7 linked regions of the Nothobranchius furzeri genome follow. The main gene of each other region encodes a partner of the protein of the gene in region 3 in a complex. Links are inferred from orthologs where the notes say so. Each region holds a gene or a part of one and is shown on either strand. Other genes may lie near its edges.

The links.
Region 1: snrpd2 (region 3) and snrpd1 share a complex: the UniProt entries of both Homo sapiens proteins name them as parts of the SMN-Sm complex. The link is inferred for Nothobranchius furzeri from reciprocal best matches to the Homo sapiens genes SNRPD2 and SNRPD1.
Region 2: snrpd2 (region 3) and snip1 share a complex: the UniProt entries of both Homo sapiens proteins name them as parts of the minor spliceosome. The link is inferred for Nothobranchius furzeri from reciprocal best matches to the Homo sapiens genes SNRPD2 and SNIP1.
Region 4: snrpd2 (region 3) and armc7 share a complex: the UniProt entries of both Homo sapiens proteins name them as parts of the minor spliceosome. The link is inferred for Nothobranchius furzeri from reciprocal best matches to the Homo sapiens genes SNRPD2 and ARMC7.
Region 5: snrpd2 (region 3) and snrnp40 share a complex: the UniProt entries of both Homo sapiens proteins name them as parts of the U4/U6-U5 tri-snRNP complex. The link is inferred for Nothobranchius furzeri from reciprocal best matches to the Homo sapiens genes SNRPD2 and SNRNP40.
Region 6: snrpd2 (region 3) and plrg1 share a complex: the UniProt entries of both Homo sapiens proteins name them as parts of the minor spliceosome. The link is inferred for Nothobranchius furzeri from reciprocal best matches to the Homo sapiens genes SNRPD2 and PLRG1.
Region 7: snrpd2 (region 3) and gemin5 share a complex: the UniProt entries of both Homo sapiens proteins name them as parts of the SMN-Sm complex. The link is inferred for Nothobranchius furzeri from reciprocal best matches to the Homo sapiens genes SNRPD2 and GEMIN5.

Annotation. Positions count from the first base shown.
Region 1 is NC_091759.1:18,894,640-18,898,436, reverse strand, and holds snrpd1 (small nuclear ribonucleoprotein Sm D1), read left to right. Parts: upstream 1-1,428; 5' UTR 1,429-1,552; coding exon 1,553-1,566; intron 1,567-2,111; coding exon 2,112-2,188; intron 2,189-2,521; coding exon 2,522-2,722; intron 2,723-2,995; coding exon 2,996-3,072; 3' UTR 3,073-3,297; downstream 3,298-3,797. Other genes in the region: gamma-glutamylcyclotransferase, read left to right, coding at 3,794-3,797. UniProt on the Homo sapiens protein: Plays a role in pre-mRNA splicing as a core component of the spliceosomal U1, U2, U4 and U5 small nuclear ribonucleoproteins (snRNPs), the building blocks of the spliceosome.
Region 2 is NC_091745.1:70,706,837-70,710,942, forward strand, and holds snip1 (smad nuclear-interacting protein 1), read left to right. Parts: upstream 1-1,306; 5' UTR 1,307-1,449; coding exon 1,450-1,610; intron 1,611-2,252; coding exon 2,253-2,382; intron 2,383-2,456; coding exon 2,457-2,992; intron 2,993-3,077; coding exon 3,078-3,330; 3' UTR 3,331-3,809; downstream 3,810-4,106. Other genes in the region: dnali1 (axonemal dynein light intermediate polypeptide 1), read right to left, coding at 993-1,070. UniProt on the Homo sapiens protein: Required for pre-mRNA splicing as component of the spliceosome. As a component of the minor spliceosome, involved in the splicing of U12-type introns in pre-mRNAs. Down-regulates NF-kappa-B signaling by competing with RELA for CREBBP/EP300 binding.
Region 3 is NC_091753.1:27,245,598-27,249,873, reverse strand, and holds the start of snrpd2 (small nuclear ribonucleoprotein Sm D2), read right to left. Parts: upstream 2,801-4,276; 5' UTR 2,665-2,800; coding exon 2,663-2,664; intron 1,693-2,662; coding exon 1,513-1,692; intron 1-1,512. UniProt on the Homo sapiens protein: Plays a role in pre-mRNA splicing as a core component of the spliceosomal U1, U2, U4 and U5 small nuclear ribonucleoproteins (snRNPs), the building blocks of the spliceosome.
Region 4 is NC_091756.1:50,515,128-50,519,237, forward strand, and holds the start of armc7 (armadillo repeat-containing protein 7), read left to right. Parts: upstream 1-1,310; 5' UTR 1,311-1,343; coding exon 1,344-1,403; intron 1,404-1,477; coding exon 1,478-1,565; intron 1,566-3,562; coding exon 3,563-3,706; intron 3,707-3,785; coding exon 3,786-4,110. UniProt on the Homo sapiens protein: As a component of the minor spliceosome, involved in the splicing of U12-type introns in pre-mRNAs.
Region 5 is NC_091759.1:20,973,028-20,977,267, forward strand, and holds the start of snrnp40 (U5 small nuclear ribonucleoprotein 40 kDa protein), read left to right. Parts: upstream 1-1,440; 5' UTR 1,441-1,573; coding exon 1,574-1,684; intron 1,685-2,308; coding exon 2,309-2,438; intron 2,439-2,511; coding exon 2,512-2,605; intron 2,606-2,697; coding exon 2,698-2,863; intron 2,864-2,974; coding exon 2,975-3,097; intron 3,098-3,417; coding exon 3,418-3,538; intron 3,539-3,611; coding exon 3,612-3,694; intron 3,695-3,839; coding exon 3,840-3,901; intron 3,902-3,995; coding exon 3,996-4,099; intron 4,100-4,173; coding exon 4,174-4,223; 3' UTR 4,224-4,240. Other genes in the region: zcchc17 (zinc finger CCHC domain-containing protein 17), read right to left, coding at 367-505. UniProt on the Homo sapiens protein: Required for pre-mRNA splicing as component of the activated spliceosome. Component of the U5 small nuclear ribonucleoprotein (snRNP) complex and the U4/U6-U5 tri-snRNP complex, building blocks of the spliceosome.
Region 6 is NC_091744.1:17,224,387-17,227,105, reverse strand, and holds the end of plrg1 (pleiotropic regulator 1), read left to right. Parts: intron 1-1,384; coding exon 1,385-1,524; intron 1,525-1,604; coding exon 1,605-1,798; intron 1,799-1,888; coding exon 1,889-1,948; 3' UTR 1,949-2,219; downstream 2,220-2,719. UniProt on the Homo sapiens protein: Involved in pre-mRNA splicing as component of the spliceosome. Component of the PRP19-CDC5L complex that forms an integral part of the spliceosome and is required for activating pre-mRNA splicing.
Region 7 is NC_091750.1:72,365,791-72,369,290, forward strand, and holds part of gemin5 (gem-associated protein 5), read left to right. Parts: intron 1-481; coding exon 482-621; intron 622-716; coding exon 717-888; intron 889-958; coding exon 959-1,156; intron 1,157-1,271; coding exon 1,272-1,328; intron 1,329-1,412; coding exon 1,413-1,544; intron 1,545-1,635; coding exon 1,636-1,731; intron 1,732-1,803; coding exon 1,804-1,941; intron 1,942-3,500. UniProt on the Homo sapiens protein: The SMN complex catalyzes the assembly of small nuclear ribonucleoproteins (snRNPs), the building blocks of the spliceosome, and thereby plays an important role in the splicing of cellular pre-mRNAs.

The sequences.
Region 1 (3,797 bases), on a different chromosome or scaffold from region 3:
TGCAACCTTCTTGCTGCGAGGCAACAGTGCTAACAGCTGCGCCACCGTGCAGCCCACAAGTCGACGAAATTCATTTTATCATCTCTGAGCTGTTTACCTTCATTTTCAGTCACTTTAGGTTTATACGCTTTTAGCATATCGGCGTTCACACTACAGCATCGTTTGACTCGTATTTATTAGCTGCTTTAGAAATAAATCATTTATCATCACTTCCTTATTATAGTGAGGATCTTCTTTTGGTGTGTGTGCCTTCTTTAGTTTCTATTTGTTAACATTGTTTTTTAAACACGCTAAATCAAAGTTTAAAAGCCTAAAACATTTCATGGCGCAGCGGCCCGACGTTTAACCCCTTTATCTGAATGTTCACGTCCAGCTGACCTTTGATTTTATTTTGTTGGACGTGTGACTTCCTGTTTGAGCCCCGCTGTAACGTTTACAGGAGAATAAAACACGACTGCTGATCTGAAGATCGATTACTCAGTTGCTATGGTTAAGGTGGAGAGAAACCCCAAAAGGACATTATCTGTTTCCACATGAAAGATTTCCAGGAACACGTGCTCACCTGCTGTAATATTTCATGACTTCTGTTTTAAACCACTGCATAATTAGATTTTCTTTTCTAGAGTTCAACAGCAGATGCACTGAGTCGAGACTTTTTCTGCTCCAGAATATTAATAACGTGTTGCGTCAATCATGTGCAGGCAACACACAGAGAGGATGACGGTTTTATTTATTTTTATTATTATTAGAAGTGGAATAATGCTGAGTTTAATGGCCTTGTGCCGTTTTTCTTTTTGTGCTTCACACTTTATGATTTATTGGTCTCAGCCTACATCTTTGGAATAAAAAAAAGCACTCTCATTGATTATACTTGATACATTCCCAGCAGGTCTCAAGAAGACAGATTTGATGTGTGGCCAAATCTCTTAAGTATCGGTGCAGAGTTTACTCTTAATAAAATGAGCTGAAAGTGCTGCTTTGTGGTTTTATTCAACTGCGACAAGTTCTCTGAAGTTGTCTCCTGATCTGTTGAATGAATTAGGTCTTGATCAGTTAGGGTTAATTGTTGTGGATATTTTACCTTTTTTCATCTTCCAGATTTTGATAAATCAGTAAAAATGTAAATTTTACTACGACTTTAACACATGTTGCACATAAACACCGTTTTGACCTTTTGGTTGCAAATTCTGCAGATCACGAATCCAGCAGTAGGTAACGGTAGTGATCTTCCTAAATATTGATCATTTAGGGATCTTTGTTTTGGATATTTGACCTTTTAACTGCCAGATTCCAATAAATTAGTAGTAAAATAAAGATTGTGGATTTTAACACTACTGTAAAACATGTTGCACAGAAAAATAAAACAAAAGTGTTAGAACGGATCACAATTCCACCAGTAGATGGCGGTAATTACACCCCCTCGTCTTTGTTGTCGCCTTTTAGTGACGTCACATCCCTGAACGTTTCGAATACAACAGCGGCCTGTGTTTTCACTCGATCGCTGTAATTTTTGTCTTCGGTGGAGGATTTTTCTCTACTGTTTTCCATCATCATGAAACTAGTCAGGTAGGCGGCAGCGGGAGGTCCCGGATTAACCGGAGAATTAACGTAAACTGATCAAATGAAAGTGATGTGGCCGGATGGATTGGGATTTGATTAAACGGTGATGAGGCGGGAAGTGGAAAAATGTAATGGATCCTGAGCGACGTTACGGCGACCGCTGAGGGTTTAAAACACGTTCCTACGCACAGTTTTAATTATCAACATAGATGAACGTCTACTTTAAGTACATTTCTATTTCAATAAGTAAAAATATTAGGCTAGACGTTAACTCATTCAACCGTTGTAGCATTAGCTTGTCAATCAACTAAAGCGGCTCAAAATGGGGTTTTAACATAATTTGTTAGAGTTCATTTTGTAAATATTTAGTTTAGCTGTTAAACTGGTGGATAATCAGTGTTTTTATTGTTTCAAACGCTTTAAAAGTCACCTAATAGCCATCGGTGGCTAACTAGATAGCTAAAGCTAAGCTACTATCTAGCCTCTGCGAGAAATGTCCCAATTACGTTGTGATGTTTTCACTCAGTCATCGTGTGCAATGATGCCCACAGGTTTTTGATGAAGCTCAGCCATGAAACCGTAACCATTGAGCTGAAAAATGGCACCCAGGTTCACGGCACCATCACAGGTGAGCTCATAAAGGTGGTCAGATAAGCCAGGAGTCAGCTGAAGCTCTTTAATTTCAATACTAATGACATATATTTGTATGCATTAAGTAGATTAATACCCACAGCTGTGCTTTCATCCTCATAGTCAGACTTTAGTACAGATAAATCTGCACAATGTATGTTTTTGTATTATTTAATCCTATTTGATGGGATTTTTTTATGTTTAACAAACCCTAGACAAGCACACACACAACCTGCAAATTAAAATATTTTCTAATCTGTAAAATTAATCCTAAACTCAAGTGCCAGATGTACTTATGGCTGGTGTTTCATCCCTCCTCTCTGTTTTTCAGGTGTTGATGTGAGCATGAACACTCACCTGAAGGCGGTAAAAATGACCCTAAAAAACAGGGAGCCCACTCAGCTGGAGTCGCTGAGTATCCGCGGCAACAATATTCGCTACTTCATCCTCCCAGACAGCCTCCCTCTGGACACCTTGCTGGTTGACATCGAGCCAAAGATCAAGTCCAAGAAGAGAGAAGCAGGTGAGAAAGGTGAAAATGCATAAGATATGTTGAGTTGAATTTTATCTTAAGGTGTTTTTTTTAGAAAGTGAATCTGAATTCTCCTTTGCGTGAACAAAAAGGTTTTCACAGTGATGTAACTGGTGTGTTTGCACAGGTTTCTGCATGGGTTTATATTAAAAGAACTAAATTGTAACATTAACTGTACGACATAATTTAAGGAGTGGTTTAAAGGACCAGATGCTAAATGAGCAATATGGTGTTTGTGACACTTGTGCTGATGCTGCTCATCTGTCTCCTCAGTGGCTGGACGGGGACGAGGCAGGGGACGGGGACGTGGGAGAGGAAGGGGACGGGGACGAGGTGGACCAAGGAGATGATCGCAAGGCTGTTCTGTTGATTCCTAACACTTCACTGTTTGTACAGGATTTTTTTTTTCCTTTGCTTCATTAAAGCAGAAACGTTTTGTGAATTTCTGTGTGCTTTTTAGTTGGACTTTTTTTTTTGTACATTAAACTTCTGGTTAAGAGGACAAATTACTCTGACTTCTTTGTGTTGGTTTTTAATACTGAATAAAGTGTCAGCACATAAACTAGCATCATTAACTACTGTGTTGTCCCAATCAGATCCCAATGCTACTGGTGTACTAGCCAGCCCCACGCTTCCTTGTGTATAAAGTTACACAGATGAGTCTGGCAGGCCAGGCTCTAAAATAAAAATGTATTTTATGAAATTATTATTTAGTCATCAGACCTTTATCCCACTACAGTTGACAAAATAAAGCAAAACTGTTTATTTAGTCAACTTTTAGGTGCAGTTTCTCACATCAGTTGTGATAATTGGTAAAACTGCACATGTAGGTGGGGGAACGTTGTTTTACATTACACCGGGGACCAAAGTCACCGCTAGATGGCGGTGTAGGAAAAGTGACCTGGTAGATGGTAGCCTATAGGATGGCTTGCCGGGCTAACGTAGAGGTTCGTGGAATGACGTAAATCATTGCCCAAAGCTAGTTATTTTATATTAAACGATCATCTTTTAACATATTCGTCACATGTCGAAGGCACCAGGTTCTTTTCGAGCAGGAGTATTTTTATCACAATGT
Region 2 (4,106 bases), on a different chromosome or scaffold from region 3:
AGAGTTATGTGAAATCTTACTTGTGATTTTACTATAAAACATAATAATAATCAACTTCTCCTTCATGTTTGCTCGGAGGTGTATAGAGCATCCTGTCCGCTCATTGGTCAGTGAATGAAACCTCCGTTGATTGGTCCTCGTCTGAGCGACAGCGATGAAAAGTTGAAAATGTTTCAACTTTCTGGGATCGCGTCGCTGGGTCGTCCGTGCACGACACGTGCACGAGTGCAAAATTTCACACGCACGTTTTTCGCGTTTCGCTTAGTAGGAGAGAGACCCCCGATTATCGCTTTGTCGCGCATGTCTCATTGAAAATGAATGGAGGAGAGGTGATGTCGCCTCCCGTGTGTTGAGCCCTTAACACTCATGCCTGATGATTTTCCTGTTGTGCCTCACTCATGTGTCTTTCTTCCTCTGTCCTCTCTCTTTTCTCCTCTTTTTCTGTCTCTCTTCCTCACAGCACTCCTGTCTTCTCTTCTGTCTGTACTAACAAAAATGTTGTCAATCTGTGGGACAGTGGGGGCGAGTGAGACTGCTGCACACACACAAAAAAAAAGACTGCTGCTTGCGTGGGCCCCCTTGTGGCTGTGGGCCCCTGGGCCTGTGCCCAGTTTGCCCATATTATAATCCGGCCTTGCCAAAAGCGCATCACGCACAGTGTGTGGGGTTTATGAAAAAAGCCAGATTATATTAATTATAGCATTAGCTACTGAACAACAAGCACACAAACAACACTTAAGTAATTAACTGGCGTTATTTCCCATCTGTATAATTTAAGCCGATGTGCTTTTTTCCGCTCTGGTTTGTGAGATGGGCAGCAGTTGTTGTTTTTTCCCTTGTCAGTGGCTCTATTCCCTTTTCCGTACAGAGTAGAAATAAATAAATAAAATGTAGGGCACAAAAAGTCTGGATCTCTTTGCTCTGTGTTTCTTCCAACAACTTCCGTTAATGGTACCCCTTCAATCCACACCTTTAGGGTTTGTCCGACTTACTTTGGTTGAGCTTGAGGCTGTCCTCTTAACCAAAACGGGATCGTCATATTTCAAGAGAGAATCGTCTAATTCAATCATCCTGACGCCTTTATGTACAGAAATAGCTGTTTATGTTGTCATGGTAACGTTCGGGCGTTTGCCGGAAAACAGAAAAAAAAAGATCTAAGCGCAATTTAAAAAAGAAAAATAGCTCAAATCCACTTGGAGTTGAATTTACGGCTTCATAAAAATATCTGTAGTTTTCATGATTTAATCCGTGTTATCTTTAAACGGAACGGAAGTCATCATAGCGGAACGTTTAGTTGAAAGCACATATACCACGTCGGAAGAAATTGTCAGCGCGCCAAACGGAAACGGAACGCAACTTTAGCAACCGTTTGGTGGGTTTTGCGTTTGTTTGCTTCTGTGGCTAACTATGCTTGCGTAGCCACAAAAAGTTGACGGATTTTGTTCAAAAATGGCCAAAGAGAAGCGACACAAGAGAAGAGATTCTCCCACGCGAGAGCCGGAAGTGAAAGTAAAACAGGAGAAATTGAGTCCGAGTAGGCCGCAGAAATCACGCCGCTCGAGGTCGAGATCCACAGACAACTCCAGTCCACAGAGGAGAAGAACCAGCAGGTAAACACGCGTTTGTCGCCCTTTGAGCACCACCAAGGTGATAATATTCAGATCTGATGTTCTTTATTTTCTAATAACTGAATTTAAATGTGACTTAAGTTGACACATCTTCAAAGGAAATGCTTTTTAGAAAAAAAAAGTTCAGATAATTTACGTTATTTCTTTATATCACAGTAAGTAGATTGTTATTAACACGTGTATTTACAACTATATCACGTTCAGCTTCAAGTGCCTATAGTACGTCAGTTAGATTATTAACCAAGCTCCTGTCTTACTCGAATGAGTACAAATCAAGAAACAATCAAAAGCATCTAAATATATAGTTTATATAGCTACATTTATTTAAATTTCTTATAATGTGTAGTAATATTCTAAAATCCAATGGCAATTAGCTAAAACATGCGTTTTAGCTAATCAAAACTTTATTAATTGGTATCAAAAACTAACATCTTAGATCCTCTACACACATTTTGGATATTTAATGCAAAGTCAAAGTATTGATTAATCTTGTTTAATTCCCACACCTGATCTCTTACAATCTCTAACACTGAAAGATGACTTTATTACTATTTTAGTTTGTAAATGCTGCCTAACTGATACGAGTGGCTTAAGAGTGTTTTCTCTTTTGTGCTCCTCACACAGGTCACCCGTGAGGACAAGAGACCGCTCACCAGGCAGAAGGGAGACCTCTCCTGTTAGACGAAACAGCAGATCTCCCAGAAACAAGAGAAATCACAGCCCTCATTGTAGCAGTGACTCTAGAATAAAGAGGGTGATTATAAAATTCTAAACTGAAACTGACTTGTCTCAACTTGTAGTCATGAAGGTTTTGTGTTTTTGTTTTAGGAGCGTGATGAGCATAGATCTAGCGGCGATGAGCGGAGGAGGAGGAACGAGCAGCCAGATGAAAGACGAAGCAGGTGGGAACATAACAGGTCCGGGGACCGGGATGGAGAGAGGCATCGTGAGCGAAACTCCCAAGTGACTCAGCAAGCTGAGCGGCGGCAGCACGATGAGCGGCGTAGGGAAAATCGGCGGCGGCGTGAAGAAAATCAAGAACAGGAGTTTGGACAAGCTGAGGGAGACGGCAGCGACTCGGGGGCACCGCCTGCTGATAAAGAGAAGCCCAACTTTGAATTGTCAGGGGCTCTCACAGAGGACACCAACACGTTCCGTGGGGTGGTGATCAAGTACAACGAGCCACAGGAAGCTCGAATTCCAAAGCGCAGGTGGCGATTGTACCCTTTCAAGAATGATGAACCCCTTCCTGTCATGTACATTCACAGACAGAGTGCCTATTTGTTGGGGCGGCAAAGAAAGATCGCTGATATCCCCATCGACCACCCATCCTGCTCCAAGCAACATGCAGTATTCCAATACAGGTATGTTGTATGTAAATGTTTTCACTGTGTGATTAATTAGATTTGTGGGGAAAATATACAACTAAGGATTCTGTTTATTCTGCAGGTTAGTGGAGTACACTCGAAAAGACGGCACCACTGGCCGCAGGGTAAGGCCTTATATCATCGACCTCGCTTCTGGCAACGGTACCTACCTGAACAACCAGCGGATCGAGTCTCAGCGCTACTACGAGCTCAAAGAAAAAGACGTTCTCAAGTTTGGCTTTAGCAGCCGCGAATACGTCCTATTGCACGAATTCTCCGACACGAGCGAAGTTGATGCAAAGCAGGAAGAAGAAGAAGACGAGGGTCTTGAGTAAATTACTCCCAATGTGTTTGTGCCTAAATTCATTTATGATGGATAAGACCAATGAGAATGTTAGAAAGTGGAGCGATGTATCTTGTGCGTGGGAATTCACACCACGTGGTTGGATTGTTATGTATATTGTGTAAATATTGAACTCTTGCTTAAACCTGCCACACCTGTCTCCAAGTAGACCTCCTTTCTCAGGATTAATGCATGGCTGATCTCATGTGTTATGTCAGGGTACATCATTGGAAAACCAACCTTATGTTTAGGAAAGCATTTCTTATTGACTTAATGAACATAAATACACAGAATATAATAATTGTATTTTTATTTTTTGCTTTTTTTTGTAGTGGAGGGGAAATACTTGATGCTATGTGTTTCTGCATCATTTATACAAAAACTTCCCTGTTTGATTTTGTCAGTTCAGGTGTATTGATAGTAAGAGTTCATTTTTCTACTGTAAATTAAAATATAGATTATTAAAAAAAATCTCTGTGATTGTTATTAAAGAGCAAGTAACGCCTAAATTAACTATTTTTTTTTGTGCTGATAACTTGCACAGATGAGTGTCTAATGGGGCTGTACACACGTGTAATCATTAATGTGGCAGTTTAGTAGCCTGGCAAGCCAGACTAAATAAATGTATTATTTACTTTGCAAAGCAAGAATTTGGTCTAGTTCACTAGGTTAGCAGTTTAGTGCGTCTTACTTAAAATTTGATACTTCAGCCCAAAACCATAATTATATCTCCATCTTTTGGTTAAAACCTCTGCTCCACATTTATGT
Region 3 (4,276 bases):
GGTGACGTGTAGAACTTGGGAGTGCAGGCTGCTGCCTGAGAGGTGGTAGAAGATGGAGTGTCTCCATGCTGCTTTGTTTTGGTCACTTATGTGCGTGAGGCGAGTGGTCTTACGGGTTAAACCAAACTCAGGTAATATTTTACACTAAACCGAAAACCCACAACACTCTAAATGTAATAAAAGGGAGATCTACACCACAAAAAAGATGAACTCTAAACCAAAACGTAACAGCTTATCCCAATGCAAGAAGCTGTTAGCGAAGATGCTAACAGTAGCTTTACCAAAAGTTCAAGTTACCAAGTTTAAATAAACCAAAAACACCCGGCAGCAAACAGACCAGCAGGGAGGAGAGACTGCTACCACCAAAACAGCTCTCCTCATGTCTGAAAGAAGCTCCTTTATGAAGGGAGAAGCGCTCCCGGTGATTTTCTACATCTGCGATAGACATGAAGCAGCGCATCTGACCCCGGAAGTTGTTGTCCGTTGCCGGGAGACGAAGGGGAAAAACAGGAAAATAATCTAGTAGTGGACGGACATTGTTCCGGGTCTTCGGTATTTGGCGGAGATGTTAGTGAAGGCGGAGAAGAGGGCAAACTAGAGGAAAAACAGGCAGATTCCTCCTCTATTTACAAACTCCTGGGGATGCAACAAGTGGGCGCGGTGCGTCAACTTCCGGATCTGACGTCGACAAATTTTTAGAATCGAGCCGTCGACTTCGTCGAGGCTTCGCTACAGCCCTAGTTTTAGGTGCCTACCTCCATTTGACTGTTTAGCATTTGTATTAACAGGTTACTACAGGGGTGCCCAATCCTGGTCCTGGAGGGCAGGTATCCAGCAGGTTTTGTGTTTTTTCTGCTCCAACAGACATGATTCAGTGGTTGAAACACCTGTGCAGCAGCTCATCAGGCTCTGCAGAAGCCAGTTAATTAGCTGCTGATTGAAATCAGGTGTGTTGAAGCGGAGTTCAAACTAAAACATGCAGGACCAGGATTCCGGCACCCCTGGGTTACAAAGTTAACTAAAAGCTGTTTGATAAGCTATCATCGGGTATATTAGGGCACCCTGGTGCAATAAGCTATACTTTTATGCATGATGACATGATTAGTTGACTAATCGTCAACAAAACTGGTGATTAGTCTACTATTAAAATTGTCTTTTGTGGCAGCCATACCTAAATGTGATTTTAAGTTTTTTGACTCTGCCATCCAAATGCATAAATGCATGGTGGCGCAGTTGTTAGCACTGTTGCCTCGCAGCAAGAAGGTTGCAGGTTCGAAACTCGGCTGTGGCCTTTCTGCGTGGAGTTGAGTGTTCTCCCCATGCATGCATGGGTTTCCTCCAGGTACTCCGGTTTCCCCTACAGATCACAACATGCCCTACAAGTAAAAAATTGTACGTCGCTATGGATAAAAGCGTCTGCAAATAAATAAACATAAAAAGCTAAATGTAAAATTTTCTCGCATAGATGCAGAACTCTGAATGTTTTTTTTTAGATGAAAATTCTTTCAATACCTGTCAAAAGCTTTAACTCTTCCAAGCAGCTTCTTATTGTTGCGGCAGTTGATGAGGACTTGAGTGTTGTTTTTCACTGACTGGGTGAGCACCGACAGGGGGCCGGTGTTGAACTCCTCCTCCTCCCGCTTCTGGAGTTCTTCTGGTGTCATCTCTGATTTGGGCTTCGTCAACAGACTCCTACACAAAAGCAGACACGATACTAGATCATTTGCTTCTGCACAGATAACGGTCACAAGTCCTTTTAGCGGTTTGCTTTTAAAACTTACATGATTACAAGATAATAAATGAAAACAAGGCACCCTAACTAAATGCAATTCAAGAAACCTGACTTTAACCGAGATTAAAATTTAAATCTCTCAGTAGAAGAGTGGGGAAGTTCCCATAGGCATTTAACAAAACTAATAACTTATTTTAAAAAATTTACACCAAGCTACTTTTAGCAATAGCCAAATATTCAACAATATCAGACATACACGTTTAATTTACTGGTTAGCAATCAGAAGTTAAAAAAAATTGAAGAGATTAGAATGACAAGTTTTGCATTAACAATTAACTGTTTCTCTGAGTTTCTTCATAACCTTCCTTTACTCTTTTGTATCAAGCAATGGATTTCTTAGAAGATTGATTAAAAAAAACATGTGGAACATCCTTGAGACAGAACGTCGCTAACAATGATGTTCTGAATTAAAATAAGCTCATATGCTTCAAAAACATAAAGCCGACTTCGTTACTAGGCTAATATCCTGACAATTTCATTCTCCAAACGCACATTTTAGAAAGTTGGTCAAACTGTTATCTACGGGGAACACAATTTGACTCAACACCGGTCTCCTTAATCGTGCTGCTAATATTTCGCAATTGGCAAACATAAAATTTAAACAATCGTAGCATCATTAACGATCACCAACGTAACTACTACATATATTTTATTGCAGTAATTACCCTGTACATATTAGGTTAATGGTGAGTAAAATATGAAAAGCGATAGCACGTTTAGAAAGCAACACAACGTGAGCTAACTAGCATTCATCAGTGAAAAGGCTAAACATGTTAGCATTCGAGAAAAGACGCTGCGACTCGTAGCTGATACTCTATCTCAAAAAATGACACTTTCCGAAATGGCTATCTCATCATCAACGACACTTACATGATTGGTGGTTTATAAAAACTGTTTAAAGCTGTTTTTCTCTCGTTTCCACCGTCTAATTCTTATGAGCAACGCTTCTGCCTTCTTCTCGTGGACGAAAACACTTCCGGGTCATTCTCAACGCGCTCTAAACAGTTCGCTATAACTTCCGGGTTACGGAGATTCTGCTCGGTAAGTGTAATGGAAAAAAAATCATCCATAAATGTAAAAATCTTGAAACTATTATTTTCTTAGTTACTTTTTTCCTAAATTCTATCTATCTATCTATCTATCTATCTATCTATCTATCTATCTATCTATCTATCTATCTATCTATCTATCTATCTATCTATCTATCTATCTATCTATCTATCTATCTATCTATCTATCTATCTATCTATCTATCTATCTATCTATCTATCTATCTATCTATCTATCTATCTATCTATCATCATCATCATCATCTATAGTAGTTCTTCAATACAGTTCCAACACAACCAGTGCATAGAACAAGCGTGTAAAAGGTAAGCCCCTCTTTTTTCGTCATTGCTTATTCTTCATACGTCATGAAGCTGATGCCCAACTCTAGCACTCATCAGTCAAGAGGTGAGTCCTTGGATGGGTCACCAGTCTAGCACAGGGCCACATGGAGACAAACAGGGACAAACAAATATGTATTTATATTTAGAGACACAATGGAACCTAAATGTTCTTGTTGTATCCAGTGAAAACCAGTGTATGCATGGCCAGAATGCACTTTGAAGAAAGGCAACCTTGCAACCTTCTTGTTGTGGGGAAGCAGTACCATTTGTACCATGCAGCCCTATATCAAAAACTCTCTCCTCACAAAGTAAAGAGGAAATAAATAAGACTGAGGAAGCAGACCTCTCCGTAGTCTGCAGCCCAAACAGGTAAGCCTTTGTTTCGCTGTTTAACACAGCAAAGGTGTGTGTGTGTGTGTGTGTGTGTGTGTGTGTGTGTGTGTGTGTGTGTGTGTGTGTGTGTGTGTGTGTGTGTGTGTAAAGGAGAGAAACGGGTATATGTGGCAGCAACGAGACACTAAGAGATTGGCTTTCTGGCAAGAGACAGACAGACGCCTATGGGTGCTCAACCCACCCACCTTGTTCCAAAGGTTACAGATCTACCTGTGGAAATCACTTGCTGTAGATAATGGCAGGCTGTGTGTTGCTGGGAGAGGTGAATGAGTGGGATTGGTTTCCAGACTGCACGGTTCTATACCTTTACCAAGCACACTCACCCTAGACTCTTGCATCTTGAGATGCAGACTAAAATGAGCTCAGCGTTACCTTACATGGGATGGAGCTGCATTCTCTAATCTGAACACACTACAGTGGCCCAATTAAGAGAGCAACAAGCATTAAATCAGATGAGTAAGTACAAGATACAAGTCTATCAATCAAACTATTAACATTTAAATGCACAAATCTAAATGTTTATTTATTTAAAATGACAGAATATTTTGTTTATAGAAAAACAAAGTCTCTAGGATGTTGAATGTTAAGTCTTCCAGCTAAAAAAAAAACCTCTGGTGCAAACACAATCTGTCATTATCAGCAATTTACATCAACTGGATGCAAGTTTGTGTGACCTCTGTATTTAAAAAGTATAATATAT
Region 4 (4,110 bases), on a different chromosome or scaffold from region 3:
TTGTTTGTAATGGGAGTTTAAACTTTAGCATATTAATTTGAGCTGAACTGAGATTAAAACTTCAAAATCTTCTCTAACCTCTCCATTATGAAGTTAAAATTTATATCTCAGACTTGATACACCTTAATGACAAAATACAAGTCCTGATACTTTGGTTTTAATTCAACCCTGATAAAAAAAAAAATCGTTTATCCAGTAATATTTTTCTCCCACTGTTTCTGTTTGGCTTAGGGGTTTAGTCTGTTTTTCCCAGATAGTAAGTACATTTTATTTATATAACACCCATCACAGACAGTAATCACAAAGATAAAAAAAACAAGACAAATTAAAGATGATTCGAGTTAAAAATAAGGCTATTTATGTAGATGGTGGTTAATTCTGCTCCCGCTTGACCAACACGAGTGTCAAAATTTAAAAGCGTGGTTCCTGCTCAGCTGAACTTCCATCCAGTCTTATAATTTACTGATTTACTGGATGACTGTAATGTCTGATGGCCTGTAAAGCATCAGTCGTCTGCAAAAAGTTCATATGTTCAGTCACTTCCTGTCTGTTGCTGCTTCTTCTTCTCCACCAGCTCTTTCTGTTTCTCCCTCCTCTCCAGGACTTCCATCATCCTGGCATAGTTGCGTTCTCGCTCCTGGGCCTTGAGCTCAACCACGTCTTCAAGGAACCTGTGTCTGCATAAACGACAAGCAAATATGTTTACGATTTGCTGCTAACTCATAGTATTTAATATTTTTGCTTCAGTCTCCAATGACAGTTTCACCGTCACACCGGTGTTACAGTGAAATGTGTTGTGCGTGTGTTTCTTTTACGCAGTTAGCAAAGCTCAGTTTCACCTGTTAATGAAAATAGTGGCGAGTCCAACCAGCAGAGTTCCGAACAAAATGGGTTTGGCGAGGCGCTTTCTCGCGGACAGCCGGTGGTGATTCATTGTTGCTGTTTTACTTAAATAAACAAAGCGACATAGCGTTTTTGTTAAGCTGACCTCCCGCAACGTGCGTTATGTGCTGTTGTACGAGCACATAAACACAAACACACCTTCTGCTCCTTAACTTCCGCTCAGCTGCCGGTGTTGTATCAATCTCTGTACACCATTTAAAATGTGTTTCCTCATCGGCTCGCGTAGCTCTCGCGTATTTCATTGCACAATTGTGACAGCAATGCTAGCATTTATAACGTTATAGGCGAGTTTATAGCAACGATGTTACGATTTCGTGTAGCTAAAAATGCGTTACTCTTTAAATCATGCGAAAGTGAACGGGGAACACATCTTCACGGACAAACAAGTTTTGATAAAACAGCGGAACAAATATCTACTTGCGCAGTTTTTCCGAACACTTATGAGCCGCGGACCCATACGTGAAATGAAAACAACCTCTGAATCAGCTATGAACGGTCAAGTAACTTAAACATCAGCATAATCTGATATCTGTGTGAATTTTATTTGAAGTGTTAAATGTGTTTTTGCTAAAAGATGAAGAGAAATGAGTCAGCTGAAGCGCCTGAACGGTTTGAATATTTACAGACGCTGGTTACTGAATTTCAGGACACTGACAGTGAAGGTAGGAATAACCTTTGATCTGTGTTCTACAAAGTTAAAATAAAAACCGTTTTAAAACGAACACGTAGACTCTCAACACCCTCAGTTTAGATGCATGCTATTATTTATTAGTGATGGGAATGGCTCAGCTCACCAGAAAGAGCCGGCTCTTTCGGCTCCCAAATGGCTCCTCAGATTTTCTGTTTCGTAGAGTACATTTATAACCAAAATAATGCAAAACTATATGTAAAATTATTTACTAATGTAAAAAAAAATGCAATATATCAAATATTTATAATTTCTATGGATTTAATAACTGAACACTTTAAGAAATTGTCACTTTCCGACTGCTGGCGCTCATTTTCTCACCGTCTTCATCACACTCTCCTCTCTATCTCGCTCACCTTTTTCCTCCTCATTCCCTCTCGTCTACCTCCACCTGCATGTGCTCTGCTGTGTGTCTGAGTCTGATTCTCCCTCTTCCCCGTCCCTACTGCTCTGTGTGTGGACAGTCTGGTCACACAGTTACACATGTTGACCAATCGCCTGTAGCGTTCACCAAAGCAAGAGGGGAGGGGGGAGGGGAGGGGACGGCTCCCAATGATGAGCCGGCTCCCGTTGTTCACTTCAAAGAGCCGACTCTTAGAGCCGGTTCGTTCGGACTGACACATCACTATTATTTATATCGTTAGAGGGCTTTTTCAGAAGCCGTTGTTCAGTCGAAAACTGTACTCTCCATCAGTATATTTATTTGAAGTGAGAGAAAAAAAATCGTCAAAAGAACATTTGTATATATGTTAGACCAGTTTTTATCCATTGCAATAGGAGAAAGGCTGACTATCAGCATTAGAATTGTGTTCAGAAGACAAAAAGATCACAAATACATGCAAATGACTTCATGAAGTTAAAATTTTTCGAAAAAGAATCTGTAAACATGACTAAATCAGGTAGAAGTGAACAAATACATCAAATAAGCTGTAATTCTAAGCAGCGTTTTAAGTTTTATTCTGAAAGTGTATCGTTGTGACATGAAATAAATGTAAGCTTAGTATTTGGAAACCAAAAAGTGACGTTATTTAACCAAATTCTGATTGTTCATTCTACATGTTAGTTCACTTTGAGATTACTGCCATAAGTAAACATTTTCTGTTGGATTTTACCGCAGAAAGCTGCTTGTTTTTATTTTTAAAAAAACGGTGTTAAAAATAAGTAGCCAGATAATGTGATGAATTAAATAATGCGCTAGTTCCACATCCATCCATCCAGTTGTAAATATCTACACTGGCTGCCATTAAACTATAGAAACGATTACTAAGTGCTACTGCTAGTTTATAAATGAGGCCAAAATACATGTTGGATCTCCTTCCTGTATATATACACCCAGCAGGGCTCTGAGATCCTTAGGAAACAGTCAGCTGGTAGAACCTCGGGTCAGAACCAAACAGGGTGAAGCTGCTTTTAGCTACTATGCTGCTCACAGATGGAATCAGCTTCTTTATGACCTGAAATGTGCCCCAACTCTAGTAACTTTTAAGTCAAAATGGAAGACTTTCATGCATTCATCAGCCTTTGAAGGATTATTTCTCATGCTGTACCTTCTGCGCTCAGTCTTTAACTTTGTCTTTTATTTTATTTCTTACATTTAATTTTATTAGAGTATTTAAAATTTGAATTTAAAAGCTGCTGTTTTACGTCGTCACGTTGATTTTAATCTTTTATGATCATGCTGGTCATGCACCTGGAAAGTACATTGAATAGCTTCAGTGTATGAAATGTGCTACACAAATAAAGCTGCCTCGCCTTTCTAGTTTACAGACAAATCTTATTTTTATACTGTCAGCTCCACATTTGAGCCTGAAGGGTGTTTTGATGTGAAAGTAAAAAGCGCCCCCTGTGGTATAAATGTGTACTGTTTCTGTGCTGCAGCCTCTGTTTATCATTGTTTGTAATGAGCTGGTGTAAGGTGAATTAGTGGATGTAGGTATCTCTGTTTGTTTCATTACTTTTTCTCTTTATCAGAGGCAAAGGAGCAGGTTCTGGCAAATCTAGCCAACTTTGCATATGACCCAAAGAACATGGAGTACCTGAGGGAGCTGCAGGTTCCTGACCTGTTCCTGGACATGTTGACCGAAGAGAATGAGAACTTTGTGGAGTTTGGGATGGGTGAGCATCTCTCCAACTAAAACAGTAAATCATGTTTGTTTATGTAAAAATCATCTAAACTCAAATATTGTGTTGACAGGGGGTCTGTGTAACCTCAGTATGGACCCTGGATGCAGAGACATCATCTTGGAGAACGATGGGATCAGCTTGATCACAAACCACCTGTCAAACCGGAGGGAGGAGACGGTGCTGTCTGCCGTCACCACCCTGATGAACCTCACCACACCAGCGACCTGCTCTCAGATCACAGAGCCAGGGATCGTTCAGTGCATGCTGCGCTTCTCACTCGCAGAGAGCCCCCGTCTGCGCAACCTGGCCTCGGTCTTCCTGCAGGACTGCTGCAGCCAGGAGCAGGTGAGACAGGCTGAGCTGCAGATGCAGGGGGTGCAGACGGCCATCGGGAT
Region 5 (4,240 bases), on a different chromosome or scaffold from region 3:
CAAATTAGAACCCAAACCTTTTATCTTTTTTCCATCTAGTGGCAAAATATTTTAGGGCAACCACTAAAATTAGAATTTATCATCAGAGATAATGAAGTATAAAAAGTTTGGGACAAACTTCTTCCTATTTTAGCCGTTGATGCTTCCCAGTGCTGCATCTGCTACTAAAATTATAATATATGGTATTAAATGAAAACGTTTTTTTTAAATAAAAAATATAAAGTTAGCTGTAGTCATCTAATATCTCCTATTTTTCTTTTTACAGATCCATTACTGCTTTAAAGGACTCACTTCACTCAGCTGGTTAATATTACTAATACTGGTATTTCATTTTTAAAGATTACAAGCTCTCAGCCTTCTACCAACCTTCCTTCCTGTAACCAGGCAGTCGAACAAAAGCTCCATATGTTTGCACTGAAACCACCTCTCCCTTGGCGATGCTGTACATCGGAGGCAGACCATCCAGCCCGGCTGGTTCTCGACTCGAGCGGTCACGGTTGGACATCGTCTCAATCTGGGCAAACAGTTGGAGGATTAAATATATTTCAATTCAATAACACAACACAGATAAAAGACGAAAGACGAGGAAAAGTTAAAGAAACCCAAAATAAAAGCAATATTGTTCCTTTTACAAAGTAACAGAATAAATTTAAGTATTTATATTGTGAATAAAAATTATTAAATAAAAATCCATAAAACTACTTTCTACGACAACTATTATGTTTTCACAAGTCAGGAGTAGGCAATAAATCAAGTTCAGTTGAAGTTATCCTTCAATTAAAATGTTTTTTCTTCGTTTTCATTAAGAATTAAGCTCAAATAACCCAGTTTAATAATATTAAAACTAGACTAAAAAGACCAGCCATGGTCTAAATTTTATTTAAACGGTAACTGCATATTTTCTAACACTCCATACATGTGAAACAGACTGAGAACCAAACACAAAAAAATAAATAAAAACAAAGAACACAGACAAAAATTGCAGCTGTCAGATTTAAAGAAACTAGGCTAATCTCAAAAACGAACAAATAGAATTATTAATATTGTAAATCAGTTTTAATTTTCAAAACATGGATTTATCTTACCTCAAACTTCACTTTCCATTACATTAATTCGAGCGGAGTAAAAACTATAGGAGACAATATCTCTGGAAACATGAACAGGATAAACGCAACACGAGCATTGGTGTTTACATAAAACCCTCTAACCTATTCCTGTTAAACTGCTCTATGATACATTAGTAAACCAGACAATTGTGCTATAATTAATATATTTTGCGTAATGTGACTCTAACTCTTAAGAAATAAAAATAATTGCAATACCTTTTCCACCGACTAAACTGTGCTAGTTATACTTCCAGGTCAAATTGACGCCAGGAAGAAAATCAGCCAATCACTGCAGCCTGCGCAAATTTCCACCAATCACGAGCTTTGAACCCGGAAGTACTTCAGTGTCTGTCTTCTTTGGTGGTTTTGTTTCCTCAGACGTCTTTCGTCGAAGACGTCCGTTAATTTTACTAAGTTTTAGCTTTGCATTTACTCTATTTAGCCGCTTTTTGTTAACTTTCCCCGCAATGATTGAACCTCTAAAGAGACCCGGAGACATGGCGATGGTTCCCACTGCGCTGAAGCGGCCACGGATGGAGCTAGTAGCGGCGGCTCAGTCTCAGCAGCTCGTGGCCACGGTAACGTAGCCCTGGTGACATCCGACTGCGTTTACATTCAAGATTAAATCATACTTACCACCTTTATAGTAGTTATGTTTTTAAGTTTGAGAAAAGGGCAAGCTATGCTAGCCGGGGACTTATGTATTCATTAACCGGACCATGTAAGCAGATTTAGTCACGTTTTCATGATTAATGTAAACATCAGAATAGTTGACAATAGAATTCAATATGCAAAAAAACTATTTTCAAGAGCGTGTTGGTTATTGTAATTATGTATTTTATTGGTAACAATATTTATTATTAAAACAGCCTTCCTTTTTAATATTTGATTCAAATAACAAAGCATATATAATAAATAAATAAACTGTCAAGATGATCAGAGTTCACTTGTGCATCAAAGGTAAAATATATATACACAGATATCACCTTTTATCATAATGCAAGCTTAAGGAAACACCAGATTGTAATTGCCACTGGTGCAATTAGGATCTACTTCCAGCTCCTACATGATTAAAGGGAGCATTTACTTCACTCTCTTTGCTAGATCTCAGCAAGTCATCCAGCTCGTATGCATTTAAAGTAAAGTACCACTTGTTGTTTCTGCACCATAATGCTGCAAACCTAAATCACTGATCCCCATAGGGCCATCCACGCACCTCCAGCATGCAGGCTCCCATCATGTTGATGTCTGGCCATGAGGGGGAGGTCTACTGCTGCAAGTTTCACCCCAATGGAGCTGTGTTGGCCTCTTCAGGATTCGACAGACTCATATGTAAGTTTGTGTCAAACAGTAGCAGACATATGTTTGTTAAAACCGCTTTAAAATCTCTGTTACCATGCTGCAGTGTTGTGGAACGTGTATGGAGACTGTGAGAATTACGCCACCCTGAAGGGTCACAGCGGAGCGGTGATGGAGCTGCATTATAACACAGATGGCAGGTAGAGACGGTGGAATATGATCAACTAATATCTGGTGGATTATTGCGGAACTTGAGTCAGAAGTGTGATACAGAGGTGTCTGTGTGGTTCAGCTTGTTGTTTTCAGCCAGCACGGACAAGACTGTTGGCGTGTGGGACAGCGAGACAGGTGAGAGGGTCAAACGTCTGAAGGGACACACCTCCTTTGTTAACACCTGCTATCCAGCTCGCCGAGGTCCTCAGCTGGTCTGTACAGGAAGCGACGACGGGACGATCAAGGTCAGGCTGTTTTCTGGGTGTTTTGCTGTGAAAATGAGGTCCAACACACACCGTTCACACACACCTACATTGTTGCACGTTTTGTTTAGCCTGATGTTTTTTGTTTTCTAGCTGTGGGACATCCGCAAAAAAGGAGCCATCCACACCTTTCAGAACACCTACCAGGTTCTGGCCGTGACGTTTAACGACACCAGTGATCAGATCCTGTCTGGAGGCATCGACAACGACATCAAGGTTAAAAAAACAGTTTTTCTTAAAGGGACTCATTAAACTGTTTATCTTGAAGAAAGTCAGACTAAACATTTTAATCCCTTTAACAACAGCAGATGGTTGCAGTGATGCTCTGTTTCAGCCATTTTAAAGTTGATTGACTGAAGATGTTCAGTGAGATTTATTGTCAGCCCTTGGTTGTTTACATTTTTGTTTGCTTCAACTCCAAACGCAAGTTTATTTTTTGTTGATTGTTGCAAAAATGTGAAATGTCGAAGGCAACAAATCGGCTCCAGCCTAAAATTCTCTCCTGGTCGTTGATCTGAAAGCTTTGTGTTGCTCAGGTGTGGGATCTGCGACAGAACAAGCTGATCTACAACATGCATGGACACGGGGACTCTGTAACCGGGCTCAGCCTGAGCTCCGAGGGGTCATACCTTCTGTCGAACTCCATGGACAACACTGGTATGCTCGGCTTCTGATCCTGCTCATCTGTGCTTGAATCGCATCCCTCAAAGAGTCTCGCGTGTCTTTGCAGTGCGAATTTGGGACGTGCGGCCGTTTGCACCCAAGGAGAGGTGCGTGAAGATTTTCCAGGGTAATGTTCACAACTTTGAAAAGGTAATCTTCACTAGCAGACAAATGAACAATTCACTTCTAGGTCAATCTGAGAAGTCGTACATATCTGGACTAAAGAAAACCGCTTTTTAGCTGTGAAAGCTCCGGGTCTGTGTTCTTCTCATGTCCTCTTTTCCTGTTTATTCAGAACTTGCTGAGGTGCTCCTGGTCCACTGATGGCAGTAAAGTAGCCGCAGGATCAGCCGATCGGTGAGAAACGCTTTGGTGACTTTTTAAACCCAAACGGAGTAAAGATAAGGCACTGAGAGCCACTTTTGTTCCCCGCTCTGTGCGTCTGCTACAGATTTGTGTACATCTGGGACACCACGTCTCGCAGGATCCTCTACAAGCTGCCGGGCCACGCCGGTTCTGTTAACGAGGTGGTGTTTCACCCAGAGGAGCCCATAGGTGAGCGACAGAACAGGAACCGGAACCAAACACAAGAAAAAGTCACTCATTTATTCTTTTCTGTGTCTTTGCAGTGCTGTCTGGCTCCAGTGATAAACGTCTGTACATGGGTGAAATCCAATAAGGTGTGTGTGTGTGTGT
Region 6 (2,719 bases), on a different chromosome or scaffold from region 3:
AGGAGTCCAGAGATTTAAACCAGTCAGCTGGTGGTTTGTTTGTGATCATCGAGAATAAGTAATTTATTCTGGGTAAGACCATCATTTTAATTGTAGCAACTCTCCCCATGAGTTATATTGGTAAGGATTTCCATCTTGCAAGATCATCTTCCACTTTCTTTAAAAGTGGGATGTAGTTTAGTTTGGTTAGATCTGCTAACTTGGGAGAGATATTAATTCCCAGGTATGTGATATTCCCTTACTCCAATTGTGTATTAAGTAAATTGACAAAAGAGAAATTAATTGGTAGAACTGTGGATTTTAACCAGTTTATAGAGGAAACTCTTAAAAAAGAGTTTATCAGTTCTATTGCTTGGGAGAGAGAGGATTGAGAATTCCGGAGAAAGAGTAAAACATCATCTGCATAAAGACTGATCTTATGTTCTATTTTCTTACACTTTATCCCTTTAATATCTGTTGTTTGCCTAATTGCTGCCGCTAGTGGTTCGATAAAGATAGCAAACAGTGAGGGGGAGAGTGGAAACAGTTTTTAACATCATCCTGCAGGAGACCACAAAACAGTGCCATTCGGGGGGGGGGGGGGTGTTAATATTTTGCCTTTGGGGGTTTAGGAACAACAATTTCTTTTCCTTCCGTTGTGCTTCACCAGTAAGTCTTCCAATTTAACAAATACAGGTTGTTTTGGGCAATTTCTGCCGATGTCATTTCCTACTGAGTTACAACCAGTCGTGAATTAAAGAGCAAGTCACCCCCTACCACAGTCTTACTCCACTCCCACTTCCTGTTTGAAAGGAAAACTGACCGAGAGGGCGGAGCCGTTAACAAATACACACCCCACTGTGCGACATTATAATGTACCAGCTAATGTCATAGGGTACCTCTTAACCAATAGCAATGGCAGATTTAAATTCAAATGCAGTGCTGAGTTTTTACCTGCAGAGGGCGCAACACTGACAGTTTTCACAATTAGACACTCATTTATATAGTTAATCAGTAAAAACAAGTTGATTTGGGGGTGACTTGCTCTTTAAGTCTTTCCCAGTGACTCTCCAGGTCTTTTCTGAGTACATACCCCAGTGCAGGTACTTGGTCCCTGAAGTGGAGCTTTTGGGTCTGCCAGGTGAAAAGGAGAAATGCACATGCCACGAAGGTCCGGTAAAGTTACCCAGAGTTTCCGATAGTAGAAACGGGCCTACTCAGTCATCAGTGTTTTCACCATTTCTCTGTAATAAAAGCAGTTCTAACACCTAACCAAATGCATCCATGAAAAGTTTGGGTTGTATTTGATCCGTTTAGGGGTCACTAGGTACACCCCTGACTGGATTGTGGATTACATCTGAGCTACAGGGTTGTAATTTAGCAAGTTTTTTCATTCTTTCCACAGATACACATTTGCATCAGGATCAGCTGATAACATCAAGCAGTGGAAGTTCCCAGATGGCAACTTCATCCAGAATCTGTCAGGCCACAACGCCATTATTAACACGCTTGCTGTCAACTCTGATGGCGTGTTGGTGTCTGGAGGTAATAATTACCTCCTTCACTCCAAACACTGATGAGGCTTTAGGTTGGATTCATAATGAATTCATGACTCTGTCCTCTAGCTGATAATGGAACCATGCACATGTGGGATTGGAGGACAGGCTACAACTTCCAGAGAATTCATGCCGCCGTGCAGCCCGGATCTCTGGACAGCGAGTCGGGAATCTTCGCCTGCCTGTTCGACCACTCAGAGAGCCGACTGATCACCGCAGAGGCAGACAAGACCATTAAAGTGTACAAAGAGGACGACACGGCTGTGAGTTGTTTTCCTGCTGCCAAAGCCTTCTCTGTGCAGATTTTAAGGCAACAAAGAGATGAATTAACCTTTTTGTTCTGTTTGTTTCAGACTGAAGAAAGTCACCCGGTCAACTGGAAACCAGAAATCCTGAAGAGAAAGAGATTCTGAGCAGTTTTTTTTTTTTGTCGTCCTGTCAGTTTAACTTCTGGTTCTTTAAACACGCAGCAGGTTTTTTGTAAGAACAGTGTCATGACCGTTACTCCCTAAATGCTGTTTCAGTGTAGACTTCATTCTCTGTAGGGTCGAAACCTGCAGCAGGAGGGAAAAACGTTTATTACTTCAGTAGCTGTTAGTTGTACAGACGCAATGCTCCCATTTGTTCTGGCTTGAAAAGTGACATTTATTTTGCTCCATTTGAATAAAAATCTGTCTTTATTTACTTTGTTTTTGTTTGATTTTAACTAGGAATGGACAATATATCGGCATCAAAATCGGTATCGGCTGATGTTAGTCCTTTTTTTAACATCTGTATCGGTCCGATTAATAAAACTGGGCCGATATTGACAACCGATATTTTTTCCATCTTGTCTCCATGTATTTATCATTTGGGGCGGGTGTAATTGTTTAGTCATGTGAACAGTGATTGTTATCTCAGAAGCGTAAATGTGTATGGTGTGTGTACATAACGTAAATTCAGCTTTAATCATTTTAATTCTATACAAAATCTGATTTTAGAAGCATTAATGTCAGTTTATTTGTATTGGCAAATATTGGTTATTGGCCATAACTGATTTTTATATCGGTATCGGCCCAAAAATTTCATATCAGTGCACCACTATTTTAACGGTGCTTCTTGTTTAGTAGCTGTTCTCTATTAAACTTTATTTTAATCAGCCATATTATCAACATTCACACACAAGAACTTAAGTTAGCAACACA
Region 7 (3,500 bases), on a different chromosome or scaffold from region 3:
GCTCAACTAACATAATTTACGGCCCAAATCCAACAGAACCGGTCGGGCTGATTCGATTCGGGTTTGGTCTCAGGTTATAACTCCAGCGCTCAGCACCACCGCCGTTAAAATAACACAACTACATTCCACTATAATTGATTATGGCACTCTTCTGTGATGCAAAACCGTTTATGCCCGCATCTCATGCATTGATTATTTGATTATTTTCCTCAGCTCTGTCCTAAACCTCCCGGTCGGGGGTGGGGGTGGGCGGAGCCACAAAGAGAGGGCTTGCGGGCCGGACGTGGCCCGCGGGCCGCCATTTGCAGACCACTGCTCAAGGGCAACATGCCGATTATCACTTGTAAGCCGCTTTGGACCAAAGCGTCTGCTAAATACATGAACATGAACATAATAATAAAGAGGGAAGCGAACATGGAGTGTGCAGTAGAAACAGAATCAGACACGCTGGATGTTAACGTTCTGATCCGTTTTTCCATAGAGAATCCTCCAGAGGAGCCGGCGGTTCTGACCGAGTCCTATCGTCGGTTATCCGGCCACACGGCTAAAATCACGGGGATGTCGTGGAGTCCGCATCACAGCGGCCGGCTGGTCACGGTCTCCTACGACGGCACCGCCCAGGTCAGCAGCTGGAAAAGCTGCACGGAGACGTTCCCGCTTGGAACGGCTTTCTGCTCTAAGCTTGTAAAAGTTCTGTTTGGTTCTGGTTCCTGCAGGTGTGGGATGTTCTGGAGGAGGCTGCCATCTCCAACTACCGCGGTCACAACGGCTACCTGCTGTGTGTCGACTGGTCACCCGTTGACCCAGATGGGATCTGGACCGGAGGGAGGGACTTCACCGTGCACGAGTGGAAGGTCTCCAAACAGGAATTCACCAAACCCCCCAAAGGTACACCCGGATTTGGGTTCTGGTTCAGATCCAACAGACCAAGCCAGAACTGTCTGTGGTGTCATCTCAGGAAAGAAGAAGGTCATGATGCAGGAGAAGCGGGCCCGTTCCAAACAGCAGAAGAAAAAGAGCAAGAACGGGTCCGGAGGAGCCACGGCGCCGAACATGAACGGAGATTCTGTTGTAGGAGTAACCATGACGACTGAGAAGGAGCTGTCTGAGGACGAGGAGGAGGTCCGATCCACACAGAACCAGGAGGTGACCACAGGTAGAAACAAGTCGGTTCTGGTTTCAGTGGAAAAAGAATTTCATTTAAACTTTAGTTTAAAAATGATATTTTAAAAAATTCTGTGGAAAAATAAAAGAATTTTTTTCTCTTTCAGCAAATTTTGAGACGCAAAAAAACTCAATTCCTGCTGCGAAAAGTAAAGAAAAACCAGGTTTTTGTCTGAACTGAGGTCCCAGCTGGGTTCCGGCCCAGTAGACTGGTTCTGGTCCTGATCAGCAGCTCTTGGTTTCTCCAGATCTCCTGGTTCTGAAGAAGAAGAAGGCCCGCTCCATGCTGCCCCTCAGCACCTCCATGGACCACCGGCCCAGAGAGGAGCTGCTGCAGGACGTCCTCACACTGGCCTCCGTCAGACACCCGGGGGGTGCAGGTCTGTAGCCGGGTGGTGCTCGCTGCTCGTGGTCATGGTGATGCTTTTACTGAAGGCAGGAGGTGTGTGTGTGTGTGTGTGTGTGTTCCAGCCCCTCCTGCAGGCTGTGTCCCGGGTCAGGGGGACCACCTCCATCTGGGCCTGTTCCACGACCGACCGGCGCTGTACCGCATGTTCCAGGCAGAAGGTCGGTTCTTCCTCCTGCTTTTACTAACAGGAACGTTTTTCATGCGTCTGAACTCCACTTCCTGCTCCTCAGAGGACGCCCACATCGAGGCAGGTCACTACGACTCGGTGGTGTACCTGCGCCTTTGGACTGGAGACCTGGAGGGGGCGCTGCAGCTTGCCACAGAGAGGGGCGAGCTGAACGACCACCTGCTGTCCATCGCCCCCATGGGTAACAACTGAAAGCCCTCAGACCCAGAACTTCTCGGTGCTGGTCGATCGAATCTGAAAGAACTTTGGTTTTTACATTTAAAGAGCCTACAGGTGCTGGCCAGTAAATTAGAATATCATCAAAAGGTTGAAAATATTTCAGTAATTCCATTCAAAACGTGAAACTTGTACATTATATTCATGCAATGCACACAGACCAATGTATTTCCAATGTTCATTACATTTAAATTTGATATTTATAGGTGACAACCAATGAAAACATCAAATCTGGTATCTCAGAAAATTAGAATATTCTAAAGGCCAATGAAAAAATGTTTGTTTCTCTAATGTTGGCCAACTGAAAAGAATGAACATGAAAAGAATGTGCATGTATAGCACTCAATACTTAGTCGGGGCTCCTTTTGCCTCAATAACTGCAGTAATGCGGCGTGGCATGGACTCGATCAGTCTGTGGCACTGCTCAGGTGTTATGAGAGCCCAGGTTGCTCTGATAGTCGTCTTCAGCTCCTCTGCATTGTTGGGTCTAGCGTATTGCATCCTCCGCTTCACAATACCCCCTAGATTTTCTATGGGGTTATGGTCAGGCGAGTTTGCTGGCCAATCAAGGACAGGGATACCATGGTCCTTGAACCAGGTGCTGGTGGTTTTGGCACTGTGTGCAGGTGCCAAGTCCTGTTGAAAGGTGAAGTCTGCATCCCCATAAAGTTGGTCAGCAGCAGGAAGCATGAAGTGCTCTAAAACTTCCTGGTAGACGGCTGCATTGACCCTGGACCTCAGGAAACAGAGTGGGCCAACACCGGCAGATGACATGGCACCCCACACCATCACTGACGGTGGAAACTTTACACTGGACCTCATGCAACGTGGATTCTGTGCTTCTCCGCTCTTCCTCCAGACTCTGGGTCCTTGATTTCCAAAGGAAATGCAGAACTTGCTTTCATCAGAAAACATAACTTTGGACCACTCAGCATCAGTCCAGTCCTTTTTGTCCTTGGCCCAGGCGAGACGCTTCTTGCGCTGTTTCTTGTTCAAGAGTGGCTTGACACACGGAATGCGACACCTGAATCCCATGTCTTTCATGAGTCTCCTCGTGGTGGTTCTTGAAGCGCTGACTCCAGCTGCAGTCCACTCTTTGTGGATCTCCCCCACATTTTTGAATGGGTTTGTCGTCACAATTCTCTGCAGGGTGCGGTTATCCCTAGAGCTTGTACACTTTTTTCTACCACATTTTTTCCGTCCCTTCGCCTGTCTGTTAATGTGCTTGGACACAGAGCTCTGCGAACAGCCAGCTTCTTTAGCAATCACCTTTTGTGTCTTGCCCTCCTTGTGCAAGGTGTCAATGATTGTCTTTTGGACAGCTGTTAAGTCAGAAGTCTTCCCCATGATTGTGGTGCCTTCAAAACAAGACTGAGGGACCTTTTAAAGGCCTTTGCAGGTGTTTTGAGTAAATCAGCTGATTAGAGTGGCAGCAGGTGTCTTCTATATTCAGCCTTTTCAGAATATTCTAATTTTTTGAGATACCAAATGTGGAGTTTTCATTAGTTGTCACTTATGAATATC